Linked DNA regions of Coturnix japonica. The main gene of each other region encodes a partner of the protein of the gene in region 3 in a complex. Links are inferred from orthologs where the notes say so. Each region holds a gene or a part of one and is shown on either strand. Other genes may lie near its edges. The genes, in order: BMP7, BMP2 and NOG.

Region 1 (7,340 bases), on a different chromosome or scaffold from region 3:
GTCTGAAAACAGCCATGAAATGAGTTTGTGAGCAGAGCCTCCACTTTTTTACACTCCACGTAGTGAAACTGAATGTGAATGGCCAGATTCTGCTGTGGCACTTCACCTAACAGGAGTGCACAGTGCTGGGAGCAGCATGAATCCATCAAACACATACCTGAATTTTGCACATTTCGTGTTTTCAAATCAGACTCCTTATCTCCTAAAGATACTTCTAAGCGTACTGACTTGCACACCAACAAAAGCAGTGCCAGCAGTTGGTACAAAAATCAGATAAGAGCACGCATGTGAAGCTCAGAGAGATCACAAAGTTACTCAGTTGGTAACACGGCTTGTGTGGAGCTTCAAGAAACACGGGGAGGTTGTTCTTATAGAAATGAGCCCATGCAGCAAGTGCCAGCAAACAGGGATTGCTTCACCATAAGCATTTACCTTTCCATCTCAAGAAGAGAAGGAAGGACAGGAGCAGAGAAGAGGAAAAACTGGTTTCTTAATTGATCCAGGAAGGAGGAGGAAGATGATGATGACATGAAGGTGCCAACATTTCAGCACGCTGTCTGTGGTGGAACCGACCCTATGGAAGCAGGATGGCGGTCACACAGCAGGAAGAAAGGAGGGAAGAGAAGGATGTTGTCCATGAGAAAGACAATCCCCTTTGTACCTTCCTTGTCTGAAAGGGATTTGAAATTCAAGCTCAGATCTGAGGGCTGAACCACTGCAGTCTGAGCTGCATCATCCTTCATTGTATGCAGCAGAATAAACGCTGCTTTGTGTCCCACTGCGGGCTGAAGTCAATCGCTGTGAGCCTCGTGTTAAAGAAATGACTCTTTAACAGACCCCCGCTCCTTTCACACTCACAGCAGTTTTGTTTTTAAGAATACACACAAGCAGATCCTGCACTGCAACTATAATGCATTTCTTTAATGCTCTACCTGGTGCAATAGGAGCATAGAAAGCACTGCTAGAAAAGATTACCAACTACTTCTATGAAAGCAGGGGATACAATTTCAGTACTCCCCCCCCCCTTTTTAAAGAACACATCCTACATTAAATCAGGAAGTATCCAATCTCAGACAAAACCAGACCACTTAAGCCAACAAAACAAGAAGGAAATAGATTCAAACATCACTTTTAAAAGAAATATGTCAAACCCAGAGGCTTCAAGGTTTGCATTTCTTCTATTGCTATTTCTTCAATGACACATACCGCTTCAGCCACTGTTACCTAAGGTGTTGAGTCACGATCCAAACCTTCCAAGTAGAATTTTTCTTCTCTTTTCCCTCTGAGTGATGCCGCTTTAAAACACAACACTGAGCTGAGATTTATTCAGTTTGAAAATGTGAGCTGGGAGCCACTCAGGTGTAAGTGATTCAGGCAGCGGGACCAGCTGCTCCCCATTCCACCAGTCCACCCTTACAGACTTTCAGCCTCCCTGACCCTGAGGAAGGTGAGTCCCCTTGTCCTGCTGTGTGATGAAAGGGCAACTCTGCCTACAAGGAACAAAAAAAGAAAGTGAAATTGAGTTATCTGTGGCTGAAAGGCAGAGCGGGGGATGCTCAGTCACCTCCCTGGTTTAGGGAAACGCCAGGCATCCCAGCCCAGTCCTGCCACCCTCTCTTTGCCCCCAGCTGTGCATTCCTGTGGCCTCCCTCATTCCAGCACCATCCCTAACGCACTCAGTCAGATCAAGGAGCTGATCCAGCAGAAAATTAACTCAGCAAAAACAAATAAGAAATGGTTTGAGAAAGATTATGTTTAAAAACAGAACAGGCTTCCTGACCTGTGCGCACCGGGAGGGCAGGGAGCCTGCAGCTGGAGGGCTGTGCTGGGTTTCAGCAGCTTGGATTTCAGTTGGTCAAGAAACCACACCCAAGGCAGGAGAGAAATTTAGGCAAATACCTGCCTGGTTAAGAGCAGGTTGGTACTGCTCCTCAGGAAGTATGGGAGAGTTTAATCTTAACTGTTTAATCTGAGTTTAATCTGAAGCACAAGTGCTAAGGGCTGATGCTCCCATCAGTGAGGGGTGAGGGGAAGGCACCCACCTGGGGTGGCATTTGAGCCCCCCCAAAGCGCCCCGGGCTTAGCACTGCTCCACACTATGGACCCTGGCTGCCCTGCACTGCCTCTGCCCCCACCACCATGCATTCCTAAACAACTGAGCTGGATTCAGTGCTGGTTCCACCACTATTTCAATAGCTCTGTGAGTCATGTCAATGCCATGCCTCAGTTTCCCTGTTATTAAAAGGTGCACACAGACGCACACAAACACACTAAACCATTCTGTGTCTTTCCCATGCAGCTCTTAACCAGTTACCTGCTGTCTGCAGGAGGAATTTAAACATAAAGAGCTAAAAGGAGGGCAGAACTTCCTGTTTCCAGAGCAGATGGAGGATCTGGTGCTAGCACTGCTAGTTATTTCTTGTCCAAAAACACCAGAGGAGCAATCTAACAAACTGCACTGACCTTCTTTCTCCCTGACTTTCTTCTTTCTCCTTTGCCTGAGGAATGAATCTTAATGGCAGCACCGACTTCGTGCATATGTCTGGTTCTCGAGGTTACCTGGGGCTGGGATCAGCATCGCAGATAAACCCTTCCATCCTGCTTTCCTCTTGCTTTCCAAGTGAGACCCGAGGAAGCAGCAGAGTTCATGGTGCTCTCAGCCTATCGTTACTGAGTAGCACTACCCAAACTGGCCGGGGCTGAGGCTGCATTGCTGTAGGTGTTACACACACGGAGTTAGAAACCGTGAAATCAGCGCTTAGAAAAGTAGGCGATTCATTCCCAGGGCGTTGCGCAAAGGTGTGCAGGGGGCAGCAGAACGGGCAGGGGACAGAGCAGGGGAACGCGGCGGCACGAGGTGCCCGAGCAGGACGGCAGCATCGCAGCACGGCCACGATACCGGGTTTGCGGCTCTGAGACGCCGAGTCCATCGCCCCGGTTGCATTAATGCGCACGAGTGCACAACTCTGCGCTTTAACTACTTGGGAGTCGCGGGATTTGCGCCGGCCGGGCACTGCTGCGCGCTGTTTGCGCGCACTGACGGCGTATCCGCACCTCCAAACTCTGCCTCCGCTCAGACCGCCCTCCTCCCCTCCTTCCCTCCCTCTCGGGGCGTCTTCTCCTTCATCACGTCCACGTTAATGCGACCGCCGGGACCGGCCGCCCTCGCCCCGAGCCAGCAGCACACGTCCTGCACAGCAACCTGATCGTCAGCCGTTCCCCCTCCCGGCGGCAGCGCGGCTTTGCTCTCCCCAGCGGTTTGCAGCGGGCAGGCGAGAGAGGAGCGCGTTGGGTTCCGCTCCTGCTCCTCCCACCAGAGCCACCCTCCCGCTGCCTCTCCGCGGAGCACGCAGCGCACACGGCTCCGCCGCTCCGTGCGGGATCGACCGCGGCGCTCGGGCTCCGCTCCCGGACGCAGCGCTCTCGCTCTCGCTCCGCTCTCGCTCCGCTCCGTCCTCCTCTCTCGCCGTCCCATGGGCCGGGGCCGCCGCGCAGCCCCCGCCGGGCCATGAACGGGCCGCGGCTCCTCCGCGGGGGCCGGCGGCCGGCACCGTGAGCGCGGGGCCGCGCATGCCGGAGGGGCGCGTCCCCCGGCGGGGCAGCCCCGCGCCCCCCGCGCCGCCCCCCAGCCGCCGCCGCCGCCGCCGCCGCCTCGCCGCGATGCCGGCGGGGCGAGGGCAGCCCGCCTCCTGGCTGCTGGTGCTGGGCGCCGCCGCCCCCGCCCTCTGGCTGCGCTGCGTCCTCGCCGACTTCACGCTGGACAACGAGGTGCACTCCAGCTTCATCCACCGGCGGCTGCGCGGCCCCGAGCGCCGCGAGATGCAGCGGGAGATCCTCTCCATCCTCGGCCTGCCGCACCGCCCGCGGCCGCACCTCCACGGCAAGCACAACTCGGCCCCCATGTTCATGCTGGACCTCTACAATGCCATGTCCGTGGAGGAGGGGGCGGCGGGGGCGGCGGCCGAGGAAGGCGAGGGCTTCTCCTACCCTTACAAGCCCATCTTCAGCACCCAGGGGCCGCCGCTGGCCAGCCTGCAGGACAGCAACTTCCTCACCGAGGCCGACATGGTCATGAGCTTCGTCAACTTGGGTGAGTGCCCGGGGCCGGGGCAGGGCTGGGCTGCGGGCAGGTGGCGGGATGGATGGTGAGGATGGATGGGAGCGGTCCTTGGAAGGTGACGGTGTGGTGGCCAGGCCAGAGTGCGTGCCCAGGGCTCCTGCTGCCATCCCAGCACACCTGCACGCTGACCCGCCGAGCACTTTACTTGCTTCTCCACCGAATAGTTCCGTGCCATCATTCCTAAAGTGGCCCTGCAGGTAGGAGCTGAGCTGCTGGGCTCAGCCGTGTCCATCGTCACCAAGGAGGACATGAAGCCTGCACGCTCATGGCGCTGCGGGACACGGGGCCACCAGGATGTGGGGCTCCCAGTGTGTTCCCAATGGCCTGGGGACATCCCACAATAAATCCTCACTCACTCCTGCAGCTTTTTCTGTTGTCCTCCATGAGTGCCACCAACTTGCCTCTCTTCCCAAGCACATGTGGATGGCTTTATGCAAATGATAAGAAGTTGGCATGCTTTGTATGCAGCTCGCTAGGCCTCTCTAATTGGATGCTACGGCCCAATCTGACTTCTATTTGCTTGCTGTAGATTGCACACCCGTTTGGACTGACTTGGCCGGATTTGAGTAAAATGCCATCAGGGCAAGTATTCTATTTTCAATATATAATTACAGACCGTGTTTCACTCTGTCCGCTTTTAGACCTCACCATACACAGCACTGAAACCACCACATGTGCAGACTGGGTGTCTGCAAAGACCCGGCACAACGCAAGTAGCATTTCCAAAACAAGATCCACTCATTGGTCCCAACCCGAGAGGAGAGAAGAGCAGAGCAGCGCATCGCCGGCATGTAACCTGCTGGGGATCGCAGACACTCCCATCATCCATAAAGCTTTTAATGCCTCCTGGGTCTCTGGGCTCAGGGGCAGCACAAACTTCTACCTCTCCAATCCCAGAGCTTGTAGTGTCGCTATCTGCAAAGCTCGATGGCAAACAATAGTAATTACTGGACACAACAGCCGTCCCAACACACGTCTTCCATTACATGGGATGCTGTGAGAGACCTCTGATTTGCACAAGCTGCACCTCCTCATTGAATGCCATAAGCTCTGCAGCAGGACTCTCTGAGTTACATTTGGCCTAGGGACTGTGCTCTTTAGGAGGGCTGATGCTTTCCATTTACAATTATTGTGTTTGCCTAATCACTGCTAGATACTTAAGCTGGTCAGCAATTATACGTTTAAAACCAAATATTTGAGCAGCCAAAAGGATGAATGGTGGTCAAATATTTGGCTTTAGAGATAAGAGCGATCTCGCAAACATTGTTCTGTGTGGATCCTGGGTCCTAAACAACGTACAGACACCCAGAGCACAGAAGACAAAGGACGTGGAAACAAGCATAGTGAAATTCACACTTCTGTGAGTTTCAGTGGAATGGAATGCACAGAATTTTAGTGGAGCAGAGCACATAAGAAGTGTGTAAGTACCAATGAGGGACGTGCAGCTCTGTGCTGGTACGCGGAGCTGCGGCTGCACTGCGCTCTGTCCTGCACTGCCTGCACTGCCGGCATCACGAGAGGCCTTCCCTGCATCCTGTGGAAGGGTTAAACAAAAGGAGTTAATCTGCTGGTCCCAAACTGGAATACAAATGGTTTGTGATTAGAGTGGAACCCATCCATAAACAGCAAAGTAAACAGGGATATGTCTAAGTAAGAACTTCCTATAGGGTGGGTTGTGCCTGTATGAACTGCGCACACTCAGTAATCTCTGTCCTGACGTGATATGATGGCGATGGTGGATGGACCCATTTTGACTTGTTGTGTTTTGTAGTTGGCTCAGAAATCTGAAAGCATTCCCTATGCAAAGTACTGTCAGCATGGTCAGCGAGAAGTAAGAGTACAGGCAAAACCCAAAGGCTTTAAACAAGGCAGGTGGGATCCCTACCAGCAAGGCACCTCTCCGAGGTTTATCTGCGCTGTTTTGTTCCCTTGTCAACAGTGCATGCCAGGACGAGTTTAAAAAGGACATAGATCCGTAATAGCTTTCTTCATCCCTGTGCACACCTTTCATCCCATTATAGTCATCGGTCTTTCATCTTTACAGGACAAAGACAGGCTTGTTTAGGGACGTTTGAATGAATTAGCCCAGCCACTCACGTATATAGGAAAATGTAACACCTGCTTTGATATGTACAGTGCGCCATAACATCCAGGGAAAATTAGAAGCTCTGTTGTAGAACTGATGCTTTTTGGGAGATATTCTGCCGTGATCCCTTTTACACCAGAGCTCAATTGCTGGATGCAGGCTGTAGTAAACTGTGTCCTACTTTTGTGAGAGCTCCTCTGCAAGCATTGCGTTTCACAGGTAGGCTTTTATTACTATGGCAGAGCCATTGCAATGAGGAAGTGTCACCGCATGATCAACCTTCATCTCAGTAGTGGAGGAAATAAAAGTGACTGAAGAAATAGTAATTCTGAATTTAAATAAACAAAGCGTGTTATTCCAGGCTTCCAAATGCTCATCTACAAATACGGGTAGCTTTGTGTTTGTTTGCTGTGTTCATATTCCCCATCTATCTATTCTAGTCATGCAGTTTTGGAGGAAGATGTGTCAGAAATAAAGATTTATACTGAAAGGCTGCCTGGGTTGCATAGTGAAAAAGAAAAAAAAAGACCCAAACCAAGCACAAATACACACTGATTTCTATGGAGATGCTGTGTGTATTTATCCCAAGGAATTTACACTGGGCATTGGCAGGGAGGAACCCAAGCACAGGTGCTCCATCTCAGGGTTATGTTGCAGGGAGCTCTGTACTAAGCATGTAAAATTCCTGTAAAATCTTGACAATTAATTAGATTTAGATTTATAACCAGTTAATTCACAGGCGACATTTTGTATTAACTTACACCTGTGCTAAGATGGATGAGGAATGGATTTGTGTCAAGAATGAATTGACGTGTAAATTAAAAGAGAGTTTAGCCACAGTGGCCTGACGAAGTCAGTCAGTTAATTGCTGTCTAATTTTACACAATTTATTACTGCAATTTCATTAGCTGGGATTCCATTTCAGACCCACGTCCAAACGAAGTTTACAAGCGGATCCATTTTAAGCACTGAAAAAAACACAAAACATTTTCTGCATCCGTTTAATTTCAAGTTTATAAACAGCAGCTGAAGAGTAAACATCCTCTGCCTTGCGTAGACCCTCGTCTAAAAATAATTGAGCTGTCCTCCTGCGGGTGATCCTGACTTGGTAAACAGACTGAACGTTTTCTTACC
Region 2 (7,200 bases), on a different chromosome or scaffold from region 3:
ACAGTGTTAGGAGCAACTGTTATCATTCATTAATGCTGGAAATGTCTTTGAAGTGTAGAAAACACTGGCTCTGCACTGTAGTTCCTGATAAGTTCCAATTTTCTTGCTACTATGATGGAAAGAGAGCCAAGATTTGATGAATGAAATTGAGACTCGCCGTGAAACAGAGCAACAGCTTTGATGAGCTGCCAGATTCCAATAAAGGTGAATAAGAAAGAAAAAGGCATTTCTGAATAAGATGCCTTTCCCCTCTTCAGAAACAAATCATCATCTTATAAATTACCTTCTCGAGTGAGAATCCATCCACGGAACAGGAGACGGGCTGCAGAGCACAGACAACCGATGGATGTTAAAGACAAACTACCAAAAGACAAACACATCTTCAGAAAACAGCATGAAGTGTTTTCAAGAATGAGCACACATCATATTCGCACAGATGCCAATGGGGAGCCCAGCTGAGAAACAGAAAAGCTTTCAGCTAATCTCTATCAAAGCCTCAACATCACTAACACACCTTAACTCGTTTTCAGCAGCCACCCCCCTCACGTTTGATGCTGCATCATGTAGATTTTTCATGCTTCAGCATAGGCTTCTCTGAAGAGGTTTAGTCACTGCAGCGCACCAAATACATGAATCACCCTCAGTACTGTTAGTGTACCATGTCAAAAGCTCACTATGTCTGAGGGAAATTGGCCTAAGAGGGGAATTTTAGAAGTGCTTGGTGTTGGTCTAGCAGGTCTGCTGAAGTCAGTGGTAGAAGTGTTGACCAGCAGTGTGCACAGAGCTCTATGTGTGCTGCTGCAGACCTGTCCAACGACTAGACCAGGATCTGGAGTGTTTTGTTAGTGACTGTGAGTCCCAGCTCGAGGTCCCGGCTGCATTTCTCATTGAGGTCTTCCAGCTGAAGGCTTCTGCCCGCTGCAACGTTGGCAGTGCTCACAGTTAAACCAGGACAGAAGAAAGACACTACCTGGTGGCACTACAGAAACACAATTGGATGTAGTAGGAAGAACAGAGTTGTGCGGAAGAAGACTTTCTTCTTGCCTTCCCGTGCTTGAAAAACAGTTCTTACCGGGTTGTAAAACCTATCTGTCTGTGGGTGCTTTATTTCACTAAGAAAACCCAACAGTGCATAAAGTTGAGATCTACCAGCTGCAATTGGGCACCTGCAGAGGAGCACCTGGATCTGAAACCCAAGAAGCAGGTGCCCTTAGCTGAATGCTCACTGGCTCAGATAAAGCCCACAGCAAACCACAACACTGTGAAGCAAGAGAAAAAGAAAAGGAAGAAAAAAAAGAGAGTAGATGTGCAGAAAAGGAAAATACAAATGGATCAGTCCAGTCAACCATACAGAGTTGAGGAGTATGGAAATGAAGCTTCACAAAGGTGACACATCTGTGCGGTCCAGCTTCTTACAACCCAATGTCCATATCAGATCTCTTCAGCACCAGTGCTGGTTTCTCTGTCAGGAGAGGAGCTGATGCACCAGCTCTGTGTGAAGGGGAGCTCTGTGGGGGAGTGCTGCTGTGGGACACCTGGGGGAGGTGACCCTTCTGCATACGTGCTGCTTTGCCACCTGGCTTCTTCCTGGCATGACCCACGACAGACTGAACTGGGATGGCAATTAGAAGTTCTCATTTAACGCCAGTGATGTGTAAACAACACTGCCATTGTTATTTTAGTGCTGATTTACATAATGGGCACAGCATCACACTGCTTTCACCTTGGTCGTGAAGAGGACTCGCAGGGAGTCATAAAACTAAACTTTATTTGTACTGAAATGCAACAGAAAAGTTACAGAACTTTTGAGGGCCTTCACACGAGGGTCAGCTGAGGGGGCGTGGGGAGCAGCTGGGTGCACAGTGCTGGTTAGTCCCTGCTGGGCACTGTCCCATGGCACAGCTGCGGCTCACAAGGCGGCAGGAGAAGGGACCTGCCCCAGTGCAGATGCTGCGTCGTGCCCTAAGTCAAGATGGAGGGAGAAGGCCACTCCCAAAGGAGGAGCTGGGAATGGAGGTGTCAAGGTTGTTATTGCTTTAGATTCTCATCCGCAGTGTTTTACATTTGGCTGTAGCTTCTTTGCAGATGAAGTCCCTGAGGGGCGTTTGTGACCCCTGCGGAGGGGCCGCGTCCCACACAGGCGAACGAAAGCCGGGGTAGCGGCCAACCCCGACCCCGAGCGCGGAGCCGCGTCGAGGCGCAGAGCGGCACAGGGGAGCGGGCAGGTGCGGAGCGGGGCAGCGGGCGGGGAGCGCCGCTCCGCCGCCACTGGGGGGCAGCCACGGCTCAGGAACGCGAGCGGCCGCGCGGGTCGGGCCGGGGCCGGGGCACGGGGCAGCGTCCCGGGTGATCCCGGAGCGCCCCGACGGCGGCTGAGCGGGGAGAGCGGCTCCCAACCCGCGGCCGGGCACGGCGGCGGTACGGTGCGGGACGGGACGGGACGGGGCGGGCCGGGAGCCGCTCGGCAAGTCGGGAGCGACGCCGGGGGCTCGGGGTCCGGTCCCATCGCGCGACCCGGCGCTCGGTCACTGTGCGGGGAGCGGCGGGACGGTCCCGTGCGGGCGGACGGACGGACACACAGACTGGCCAGAGCCCGGCGCGGTGCGTCCGGGCGAGGCAGGGAACGGGCGAAGGAGGAGGAGGGAGAGAAGCGGCGAGGGAGGGAGAGACGGAGGGAGGCGGCGTCTCCTTTAAAAGCCGTGCGGGGCCGCGGCCCGCTCCCACAGGGCGGCTGTGATTGGCGCGGGCCCGCGAGCCTCCGGGGTCGTGACATCGGAGCGCAACAAAAAGCCGCGGCCGCGTTCGGCCGCCCCCGTGCATGGTGCGGCGCGGGCGGGACGGGTGCGCGCTCGCAGCGCTGTCCCCACCGGTGCTCACACCCTCCGGAGGGGTTTTGTTGGTGGATATTTTTTGTAATGTAGCTTTTTATTTCGTTCTCCTCCTCGGTTGGGTTTTTCCTTTTTTTTTTTTTTTTTTTTTTNTTTTTTTTTTTTTTCTTTTAAAGGCGCGGAGCAAAGCGAAGCCCAGCTCCCATCTCCATGTCGCTGCGGGATTCCCGGTAAATAGCCGCCCGTGCGCTGCGGGTGATGCGCAGGACGCTCGCGGAAGGCGCCGTTCCGCTCCGTAACGCGTAGCACCCACTCGCGGGCGGGCAGCGCGCACCGAGAGGAGAACGGAAAGGAAACACCGACTTTGCGACCGGCGCTTTGCGAAAGGAGAAGCGCGGACTTTCCTCCTGCCTCCCGCCCGCCCGCCCGAGGCATGTTCCCGAGGCGCTCCGCACCGCGGGCAGCTCCCGTTTTCCGCCCGGCAGCCGCAGAGGAGCAGCAGCAGCGCGGTTCGGAGTAACTCCAAGTGATGCGGGGACCACAGCCCGAGAGCAGCACGCGCTCCCGCAGACGCCAGCCCCGCCGCACTCAGGTACGGCCCCGCGGCCGCCGATCGCCGTCTCCGCAGGATGACTCCGTGCAACACCGGGGGGACGGGACGGAGAGCGGGTAGCGAGCCTTAACCCCGCGCCGAGTTTGGCGGGGGAGAAGAGCGTCCCGCGGCTCCTGCTCGAGCGCGAGCGGCTTTTATTTTTTTTTTCCTTTTTTTTACTTTTTTTTTTTCATCTTTTTCTTTTTTTTTTTTTCCCTCTTCATTCCACGCCGGGATAGCGGGGCCCTCCTCCCTGTGACCGGGGAAGCCGCGGCTGGAATAGCCTGCCCCGGGCACGGCCGGGAGGTCCCTCTCCCACCGCCCCGTCCCTCTCCGCCCCCCGTTCCCTCTGCGGGAGGCCGTGGCCGCACGCACCTGCGCCCGCCGAGGGCGGCTCTCCGGCCACCCGCGCCCCTTCCCCTCGCCCCCCACCCCCGCTGCCCGGCCCGCCCGGCTCCTTTTGATCCCCCGCCGCGGGGATTTGGTGCCGCCGCGCACCTGAGCCCCGACGGGGCCCCCCCGGCCGCGCCGTCCCGCTGTCCGCTCGCCATGGGCCGGCAGCCACCTGCGGAGTGGCCCCGGCTGCCCCCCGCTTCGCGGCGCGCTCCCCCGGCGCGGTGCCCGCGCTGACCGCCTCCCATCGCCTCCTCCTCCGCGCAGGTCGACCATGGTTGCCGCCACCCGCTCCCTCCTGGCGCTGCTGCTCTGCCGGGTGCTGCTGGGCGGCGCGGCCGGCCTCATGCCGGAGGTGGGACGGCGGCGCTTCAGCGAACCGGGCCGCTCCGCCTCGGCCGCGCAGCGCCCCGAGGACCTCCTGGGAGAGTTCGAGCTGCGCCTGCTTCACATGTTTGGGCTGAAGCGGCGGCCCAGCCCCGGCAAGGACGTCGTCATCCCCCCCTACATGCTGGACCTCTACCGTCTGCACGCCGGCCAGCAGCTGGGCTACCCGCTGGAGAGGGCCGCCAGCCGCGCCAACACCGTGCGCAGCTTCCACCACGAAGGTAGGGGCCGAGGGACGGGCGGAGGGGAGCGGGAGGAGTGCGAGGGTGGGACGGAGGAGGGGCGGCGGGGCGGGCTCCGAGCTTCGGAGGGGGTCGCGGCTGCGTTTCCAGAGCCCACCGCGGGCTCCGGGGCCGCCGGTGTGAGGCTCTCGCCGCGCTCTGCCGGCCGCGAACGGAGCTTTCTTTGGGCGAGGCGGAACGCGAAGGAAAGCTTCCCCCGAGCCGCGGCGAAGGTTCCTAATCCCTTATCTAAATCCCCGTGGGAGATAGGCGAAGCGGGCCGGAGCGGCCTTCCCCCGGCCGCCGTCGAGCCGGAGGAGTCGCGAAGCTCGGGGCCGTGCCGCCCGGCTGGAGGTAGCGCTCCGGGGTGGAGGTAGCGCTCCGGGCTGGGGCTCCGGCTGCTGGCTGCCCGTCCGGGGGCCGTACCCAGCGAGCGGCTCACACGGCCGAGATCGCAGCCGCGTGGTCCCGCAGAGCCGTCGGTGCTTGCCGCTGCCCCGCTCTGCAGGAAGCTTTATCCCGGGATGGAACCTGCCCTGGCCATAGTCTCTGGCGCTGGCACACGGCGGCTCTGCTTTAAAGGGAATGGAAAAGCGGTCGCCCCGCGCTCTTCAGGTGGAACAGCTGAGAAAAGAAACGCGCTTAGATTTAATGGTTCTGCTGGACGGAGGTGGCCCCGGTGCCGTTTAGTGGGAAGTGAGATCAGTGGTGAAATGTCACTCTCTCTGTAGCGGGGAAGTAAACAGCAGCAGCGCGTGGCTCGTTCCTTTTAAGCCCGTACGTGGCAGGCGAGGTGCTGAGCAGGACAGGAGCCGAGGGGCACGGAGTGTAACTTGTAGGCAAACAGAGCAGCGTTGGAAGCGGTGGTGTTGCAACAAAGTCTTTGACATGGAAGGCTGTCCTCCGGTTTTCACAAACTTGAGACGAAAATCAACGTGACTCCGTTTTTCCATTGAGTTCTCACTGTTGGTTCGTGACTTCATGAGAGCAGGAGGCTGTGCCGGGAGCGCTCGCACATCTGCATATTTACAAACGCCGGGCTGGTCCCGAAGCGCTGCAGAGCTGAGCCCTGCCTGATGCGGGAAGTCGGGCTGGAGCCAGCAGGGAATGGCACGGGGCTGAGAACTGCTCACGTCAGTGCCAGCTTCCCTTCAGAAAGTGAACGGATCCCCGGGATGCTGAGTAGCAAAAAGAAAACCCAGGATTTCAGAGGGATTATTGTGGGCAAACGCTATTTCTTCCGTGTCTGCAGCAGAAACTTACAGTGTAGCAGCCCTAGATACATAGTACTCCCCCTGAAGTTCCATTCCAGTGTCTGTTGGCTGAAAGGGAAAGATGGCACGGGGCTCAGGGGCTGGTTTGGTTGCTAAAAACATTTCCTTATCCCTTTAGCATCCACCCATTCTAGCAGCTAGACCCGTTCTCACAGTCCTTTGGACTTCATACTGGGGTGTGCTTGTAAAGTGGCCTTACAGATGTTGAGGTCACTGCCTCTAGTTAACATATGCAAATCTATACATTAAGATTGAGTAAGTTACTGAAGATGTGGAGCACTGTATTTCAGAATGGAACTTAAGAGAGAGGTGCTCCAGCCATATTCTTGAAAAATGCAGAAATGCATCAATTGCCCTTAAATCCTCAGTTGGTTTCAATGATTCTCATCAGACCTCTGCTAACTGTAGTGCTCGAGTTTTCTCACTGATGTCTTTGAATTCCAACGTGATGCTTCATGTTTCTCGGCACTGGTAATGACTACCTGGAATGCAAAGAGCACCGGTATTCCATCAAAGTGCATGACAATGAATGAAGCGTTCTTAACTTTGTGCTATACATGCTTGTGTAAATAAACAGAAGGATGAGGGAGGCTGTGCTTTCTGCCTGGAAGTCTTTCAGGTCTTGTTTGTCGCATGCCAGCAGCACGTATCTGAGGGGTTTGGTTGCTTGTCTCAGTTCCTAACTGTTTTTTCTTTCTCTCCCTCTGCTCCCTGCCCCCCTCCCCTTCCCTTCTCGTTTAATCAAATTAGAAGTTTTGGAAGAACTGCCAGAAACAAGTGGGAAAACAGCACGACGTTTCTTCTTTAATTTAACTTCCATCCCTAATGAGGAGTCTATCACCTCAGCTGAACTCCAGATCTTTCGGGAGCAGGTGCACGAAGCCTTTGAGAGCAACAGCAGCTACCATCACCGTATTAATATTTATGAAATTATAAAACCAGCCACAGCCACCTCTAAGGACCCCGTCACGAGACTTTTGGACACCAGGTTGGTGCATCATAATGCAAGTAAATGGGAAAGTTTTGATGTAACGCCGGCCGTTTTGAGGTGGATTGCACACGGGCAACCTAATCATGGGTTTGTAGTGGAGGTGGTTCACTTGGACAAAGAGAACAGTGCCTCCAAGAGGCACGTTAGGATTAGCAGGTCTTTACACCAGGATGAAGATAGCTGGTCTCAGCTCAGGCCGTTGTTAGTGACGTTTGGGCACGATGGCAAGGGACACCCGCTTCACAAAAGAGAAAAGCGTCAAGTGAAACACAAACAGCGCAAACGCCACAAATACAGTTGCAAAAGGCATCCGTTGTATGTGGATTTCAGCGACGTGGGTTGGAACGATTGGATCGTGGCTCCCCCGGGCTACCAGGCGTTTTACTGCCACGGGGACTGTCCCTTCCCTCTGGCCGACCACCTCAACTCAACGAACCACGCCATTGTTCAGACTTTGGTCAATTCAGTGAATTCCAAAATCCCCAAGGCCTGCTGCGTGCCGACAGAACTGAGC
Region 3 (6,716 bases):
ACGGGGCTGAGTGCATGGGTGAAAGGACTCACCTGAGGCTACACATTCTGTGCCAGAGGTGGATATGAATTTCAGTTTCCAACATTACACTTTAAGGCACTAAAACTGCAAAAGAAGAAACTGAAAAGTAACTACAAGCTCAACTTCAACCTTCCCCTTCTTATTGCTTCCCCACAGTGGTCTCTGTGAGGTCCTGTGGTGCCACTACAAAGATGAGCAAACAAAACTTGGCCGTGTTAGGAATTGATTTCAATTTGAAAAAGCCATAATTCAATTTTGTTCTAAAAACATATTACAAAATCTAATATTAAAAAGATTTGCATAGAAACATTCACCAGAAAGCTCTTTTATTTGTTTGGCTTGAAACACTTCCACTACAAGCCAAACATTTCAACACTGGGGCAGGAGGACCAGAAAGTGAACCTGACCAGAAACAACAGTGGAAACGACTCGTTTATTTTTGCTCCACCAGCTGACAAAATTCAGTTAGTTCGTTAAAAAAAAAATAATAAAAATCACGTGCCTTGTGGAGGGTGAGAGTCGATTTTTTTAACCCAAAATATGACCTTATTTCTCAGCACTGGAGCTTCGTTGGCTGAGGAGGTGAAGCAGGAGCCAGCTGTGTGCTGAGCACACGGCGCTCACCCCCCGCACACACACGCACAGCCCCGCAGCGCTCACATCTGATGGCAGCCAGAGCCGGTCTGCAGACAGCATCTGTGTGCCCCACTGCGGGATCGCCCAGGGATGAATGGGGGGCGAGTCCCTCGCTACCAGTGGGAATATTACCTAGTAACGTTTGCTAATGGGGCAAAGGACCTTGTATTGTAATCCAGTGACATTTTCAACCTTCGGAGAACTTTTGTTGACATTCCCGAGTCGCTGGCTGCCATCCCAGCATGAAATAGTTTCTGTTCGCATAATTCTCCTGTTTACCAGCCATGAAAAACTCGCGCTTTTGGCTTTTTTTTTTTTTTTTTGCAAGTGAAACTGTCTAAAAAAAAATTGGCCCCAGGCATAGAAGGTTTTGCATAAATTCATATGTGATGAATGGCTGATTTTAATGTTATTTGGGTATTTGTCAGAACCTAACAAATATACATGGTAATGGTGGTTCATAAACTTAAACATCTCAATATCCCCTTTCTTCTAGAAATAAATTACGTTTGTTTGCCCTGCCTGGAGTCCTAAGGTAGCCGACATTAGGAATATTTTAAATGTGATCATCCATCCAGCATGTCTTTCAGGCGCCACGAAGATTAAATGAAAGAATCATAAGATGAAGGTCTTTAACTTTTAATCCTTTTACAATGAACCCTTAGATAGACATGGGGGCAGGGTGCCTTCTATGTGAGTAATAATGCCTCCGTTCCTCTTCACTCGGTTAATGAATACCCGAAATGTCCCGAGATCTGATTTTTTTTTTCTTTTTTTTCCTTAAGTATTGAAATTAAAAGCAAAGAGACGGACGGTAAAACGCACCGAGACGGCGAGAGGGGGAATGAATATGCAGTGGGAGATAGGAGAGCTCAGCGCCGGGGAAAGCAGGGCTGGGCTGTGTCAGAGAGACACGCGGCTGCAGAATGATTAGCGCGGATTCCCTGAGAGTTTAAAAAAAAAAAAAAAAAAAGTTCGCTGATTCCAAGATAAATAAGGAAAAGGCGTTCTGCACTGTCACGGCGCCTCTGAGGAACACGTGGAGCGTTTGTTTTTGCACTCGGTATCTATGAGATACAACCGGCCCAGCACGGCGCGGCCCAGCGCTCCGCTGCCGGCGGCGGGTCCTGGCGGAGCCGCGGGGCAATTCCGCGTCCGCGGAGCCCGCAGAGCAGCGGGGGCGGCCGGAGCCGGGCGGGGGGGAAACAGGGGGCGGCGGGACGGGTCTCCGCCGGGCAGCGGCGTTCGGGAGCAGAGCGGCGCCGGGCCGTGCAGCACCGCTGCCGTGCTACACCCGCACCGCAACGCACCGCAACGCGGGGCACGACGAAACGAGCGGGTCCGTACCCAGCCCGGGCGCTGCCGGCGGCGGATCAGCTGGGGACCGGCGGGTGCCCAGAGTTAATGGGCTGTGAGGGCGAGTGTCGCCGGTCGGGGAGGGCGTGCGAGGCTGTCACAGGATTGGGTTAATAACGCGTCTGCGCTGCAAACCCCCGAAGCCCAAGGGTCAAGTTTCAGCAGCGTCCCACCACAATGGTAGGTGTGAAAGACACGTGTCCCGTTGTAAATGAAATGTCAAGCGGCTACAAAAGCCCGGAGCGGCGGCCCCGCAGATCGGCCCGCTGTGTGTGCGGGGTGCGGGACACGCGGAGCAGCCGCACCGAGCAGCAAACAGCACCCGCACGTGTTTTAGTGGTTGACTTTAATTCTGCTCTGCGCTTTTACTACAGGGGTATAAAGAATAAATAGCAGATACTCTTCATTTACATAGAATTAAGTCATTCGGACCGTTCTATTTACAATAACATTGTGCTCGAGGCGTTTTCTTTTTAACCTAAAGTCCGTAAGAAGAAAAAAAAACCCACTCAAACGCAGCGACACGCTTTCCGAAGAATGGAAAATTGCTTGCAAACGTTTTCTTATCAAAAAGTTTGGTTTGTATTTTTTAATCCTTTTATTAAAAAACAACAACAACAACAACAAACCGACTTCGCCAAAGCGAAGCAATTCCTCTCCGGAATATAAATACAAAAAAAAAAGATACATTAGCAACGATCAGGGTAATAGCCTTAAAAATACAGTAGACGCTGATTATTTCACGTATAATACTGACCTTTTAATAGTATATTAAACCGGTGCCATATATACACACAATATACATTCTCCTACACATTACAGTGCATTACAACGTTAACCAGAAAGCAGTGTCTCTTATTTGTGTTGCAGCAAAGGTCCCCGGCAGCCCTGCGGGCACTGAGCCCTAACAGGAGCACTTGCACTCGGCGATGATGGGGTACTGGATGGGGATCCACGTGCAGCGCTGCCCGCCCCGCCGCTGGCACCGCCACCTCAGGATCGTTAAATGCACGGACTTGGCAGGTTTGCAGACCATGCCTTCTGGGACCGAGCAAGACCTTTTACTGTAGCAGCTGCCCACTTTGACGTACCGGGGCCAAAAACGGCTGCCGAGATCGTTCCACGTGTATAGGACCGGGCAGAAGGTCTGGGACCAGAGCCACATCTGCAGCTTCCTGCGCAGCTTCTTGCTCAGCCGGTGCTTCTTGCCCGGCTGCAGCCCGTCGTAGAACTCCAGCCCCTTGATTTCGCCGGGCATCGCTCCCGAGGGTCTCTGCCGCAGCAGCAAGTCCAGCTCGGCCAGATCGTCTACCCCGAGCCGGTCCTCGGGTAGGGAAATAGCCATAAAGTTAGGGTCGAAGTGTCCTCCCATGAGGCTCCTTAGCAAGGTCTCGTTAAGATCCTTCTCCTTGGGGTCAAAGATAGGGTCCGGGTGCTCGATTAGATCCACCAGGGGCAGGTTGTCGCTGGGAGCCGGGCGGATGTGCAGGTAGTGCTGGCAGGAGCCCTGCTGCAGCCGGAGCCCCAGCAGCACCGCCGCGGCGTATATAGTCACAAGGCACTGGGAATGATCCATCCTTGGGAGACCGCCGGGGGGGGGGTGGGGAGGGGGGCTGGGTTCACCGAGCAGCGGGGGAAGAAGGTGCGAGCAAATGCATCAGAAAACTCGGACGCGGATATCCCGGACCGCCTGTCCGTGCCGGGGCTCCGCTCCGCTCCCGCACCGCCGCACGCAGCCCCCGGCCGCGGGTAGAGCCGGCCCCGCAGACGCGCTGCGCTCCTCGCGAGCCGCTGGAGAAAAGCTCTCCCGGTGGAGCCGCTCCAAATTCTGCCGCAGCCGCCGCTTCTTTTCGCGTTCCCCGCGACGAGGAGACAGACGCCTCTTTTTGTTGCTGCTCTCCGCTGCCGCTCCTCGCCGTCCGCCCGTGCGTGTGCGAGCAGTCGCCGCCGGCTCTTCCTCCCCGCTCCTCTCCGCCGCTCGCAAAGCCGCCTCCTCAGCAGCAACGGCAGCCGCGCACGTTGGCACCAGTTTGTCTGCTTCGCGAGGACCCAAAGCCTTTAAATTTCCTGCACTTTCAGCTTCATCTCCATGGAAACCACAGACTCTCTTCTAACCCACCCCACCCCCCTTAAAAAAAACCACACGCACAACGCAACCCCCACTCCCACAAAAGTCCGGGAGAGCGCGGCTTTCCCCCCTTGCCACCCCGCACACACCCTCTGCTGGGGATGGCTGCAGCCCGCCGCCTCCCCCCGCCTCCCGCCGCTCCCCGGGAGATGCTGGGCTCTGGGCAGCGCTCCGCTCCGCTCCGTTCCGCTCCTCCCGCCGGTAGCGGTGGCTGGTGCCGGCGGCGCTCACCCCATGGGCACGGCGGAGCGGCGGAGCGCGACCCGGGAGCGGAGCGCGGCTCCGGGCCGCCCCGCACTATCCGCGCCGCTTCTCTCGCTGCCCCGGCGCGTTGCGGCGCTACCTGGCCGCGGGCGGAAGGTTTGCCCGGCTCCGCACATGGGCCCGTGATGTAATTCCCACTACGCGCCCGGCTGGCCGCCCGCCCGCCCGCGGGGACGCGGCAGAGCAGACGCCCCGGCCCCGGCGCCCGGCCGGGCAGAGCGGGCCCTCTGCTGGCGGCGCCGGGCCGGGCCGAGCCGGGTTCGCCCCGCGGACATCCCGGAGGCAGCGGCCCCTCCTGCGGAGCTGCACGGAGCGCGCCCCGCCGCAACACGGCCGCGTTATGGGGCTGCTCCGTCGGATGCGCCGCCGCGGTGCCACGCCAGATCCGACAAGCGAAGACAGAAACGCTGCATCGACGGTACGAACGGGGAGAAGTTTTACAGACACCGCAGAAGTGCTGCGTCACAGAAAGCATCGCAAGGCACGGTCAGCCAGCAGGCTGGGTCACTAAGCGCTCTGTGAGGACGTGCTGGAATCCCGCAGGCTGTGTAGGCACTTTGGAGCCTAAGTTTAATGGGACTGAAGCTCAGCCACTAATAAATTATTTATGCATTTGTTTAAATGCTGCTCTTCAAATTTAGGATTGTAATGAATGTTATATGTTGATTGTATTACCCGCGTTGAGCTGCTTCTCTAAAAATTAACTGTATTTTATTATCTATTTTCACTCCCTAGGCTAAATTCAACGTAATGACATGAAAAAGGTGGAAAACTGACCCAAGCCACTCGCCAGAAAAGCAGCCTGACAGTGACATCTGCTGCTGTTGGTCTCTGCCCTCAAGTGGAACCTGCAAAGCCTTCACTCCTCCTTTTTGGCCACCCTACAGGGCAACACGGAACCGTGTGTTCCCTGACATGCGGGAACCTAAAACCACCTCTCAGCAGCAGCAGCAGCAGCAGCAGCACACGTTGACAAGGAACAAAGATGGGAAACTGCTGACATTTCTCAGCTGTGCTGCTGCAGTGCCATCCCACGTTGCAGTGTTGGTGGAGCAGCCGTAGGGAGAACTGCTGGGATGGTTCCTGGGGGCTCAGGGTGCAAGTGGCTGCTGGTGCCGGTGAGGGCTCTGCCCGCCTCTGCCCTCACTGCCTTCCCACCTGCAGCCGGCATCGCTTCACCGTGGAGCTCTTCTGGGAGGGATTTCATTCAGGCTGTGAGTTGTACAAGTTGGCAATGCGCGGTGTTAAGTGGATGAGGAAGAGAGAAACCGCTCCTCCTTGGATCCCATCCTCCCTTCTCCTTCTTTTCAGGGAGTCTTTGTTGCCACACTTCTTCGTAAAGGAGTTTTATGAAAGCAGTCAAATATTAGGTTAGATCAGATTTTTCCCCAATGAAACTACTGGGAAAGTGGCCACTGGTGTGGGCCAGTTCCTCCTCATTGTGTACAGCAGTGCTGCCAAGGCGCAGACAGGGAAAGTAACCTGTAAGTCACTGCAAATATTTCTGAATCTTCTTTCAAGCCACCTTGTTTAAACACAAAGGCACGAAAACAACAACAGCTCAAAATAATGCTTTGAAGAGAAAGCAAAAATCCTGAAGTTCCTTCCTGCCGTCCCGTATTTCTGCTTTCAGAACAAATTCAGTTCTGCTCAGTTGGCACTTGAAAACAATTCCTTTAACTACCAGTCTCAGAGTCTAAAAATAAAGCCTACGAAGCCTGTTCATACCAGCTGTGCACTTCAGGTTCTACACTCTAAACCACGGAGCATCGACCCTCCTGTGCCGCACTGTGATGTGGGGCTGCAGGAAGGGTTGGTGGATTGCTTTGGGCTGTGCCCGTTCCAGGCCAGGTGTCTGCATGGAGCACCGCGCTGCTGGCGAGGCCACACGAGCTCAAGGAAAGCAGAAGTGACAGAAGTCACTCATGGCCCAAGAATTTCTCAGTGGAATGGCTGATAGCGGGATGGGGAGAGCTGCCAGTAACTGCTCTGCCAGAAGCCTCTGGGTCAGAGGGAAAAGAGATTTGGATCCCCATCAAATTGGTTTAGTTCGGGGTTTGCTGAAAACAGCAATAAATGAAACCCAGAGGTAAAGGGCCTGATCCAGTCGGTGCATGATGCCAGCCCTGCCTGGGATAGGGACAGAGGCCAGCAGCTCAGGCAGGACTGAGCTGGTCACTCTACTGGCAATGGTGCATGGAGCAGAGGAGGAAACAACTCCCTTTGCCTCAGCTTTATTGGTTCTGGAGTGCTGACAGTAGTAAAAAAGTGTTTTTTCAGTAGACAAAGCAAATACAACTTTCAAGGCACA

Evidence for each region.
Region 1: the proteins of NOG (region 3) and BMP7 are in contact, whole or in part, in a crystal structure (PDB 1M4U), measured with the Homo sapiens proteins. The link is inferred for Coturnix japonica from reciprocal best matches to the Homo sapiens genes NOG and BMP7. Residues at the interface, in NP_005441.1 of Homo sapiens: His29, Tyr30, Leu31, His32, Ile33, Arg34, Pro35, Ala36; in NP_001710.1 of Homo sapiens: Phe365, Pro366, Leu367, Asn368, Ser369, Asn375, Ile378, Val379.
Region 2: the proteins of NOG (region 3) and BMP2 are in contact, whole or in part, in a crystal structure (PDB 7AG0), measured with the Homo sapiens proteins. The link is inferred for Coturnix japonica from reciprocal best matches to the Homo sapiens genes NOG and BMP2. Residues at the interface, in NP_005441.1 of Homo sapiens: Ile33, Arg34, Pro35, Ala36, Pro37, Ser38, Asp39, Asn40, Pro42, Leu43, Val44, Asp45, Leu46, Ile47, His49, His199, Arg204, Arg206, Pro219, Ile220, Gln221, Tyr222, Pro223; in NP_001191.1 of Homo sapiens: Trp310, Asp312, Trp313, Val315, Ala316, Pro317, Pro318, Gly319, Tyr320, Ala368, Ile369, Ser370, Met371, Leu372, Tyr373, Lys379, Val380, Val381, Leu382, Lys383, Asn384, Tyr385, Gln386, Met388.

Annotation. Positions count from the first base shown.
Region 1 is NC_029535.1:10,545,927-10,553,266, forward strand, and holds the start of BMP7 (bone morphogenetic protein 7), read left to right. Parts: upstream 1-3,570; coding exon 3,571-4,090; intron 4,091-7,340. UniProt on the Homo sapiens protein: Growth factor of the TGF-beta superfamily that plays important role in various biological processes, including embryogenesis, hematopoiesis, neurogenesis and skeletal morphogenesis.
Region 2 is NC_029518.1:13,150,866-13,158,065, reverse strand, and holds the start of BMP2 (bone morphogenetic protein 2), read left to right. Parts: upstream 1-2,987; 5' UTR 2,988-3,420; intron 3,421-4,080; 5' UTR 4,081-4,087; coding exon 4,088-4,421; intron 4,422-6,445; coding exon 6,446-7,200. UniProt on the Homo sapiens protein: Growth factor of the TGF-beta superfamily that plays essential roles in many developmental processes, including cardiogenesis, neurogenesis, and osteogenesis. Induces cartilage and bone formation.
Region 3 is NC_029533.1:7,832,994-7,839,709, forward strand, and holds NOG (noggin), read right to left. Parts: upstream 4,206-6,716; 5' UTR 3,590-4,205; coding exon 2,918-3,589; 3' UTR 2,343-2,917; downstream 1-2,342. UniProt on the Homo sapiens protein: Inhibitor of bone morphogenetic proteins (BMP) signaling which is required for growth and patterning of the neural tube and somite. Essential for cartilage morphogenesis and joint formation.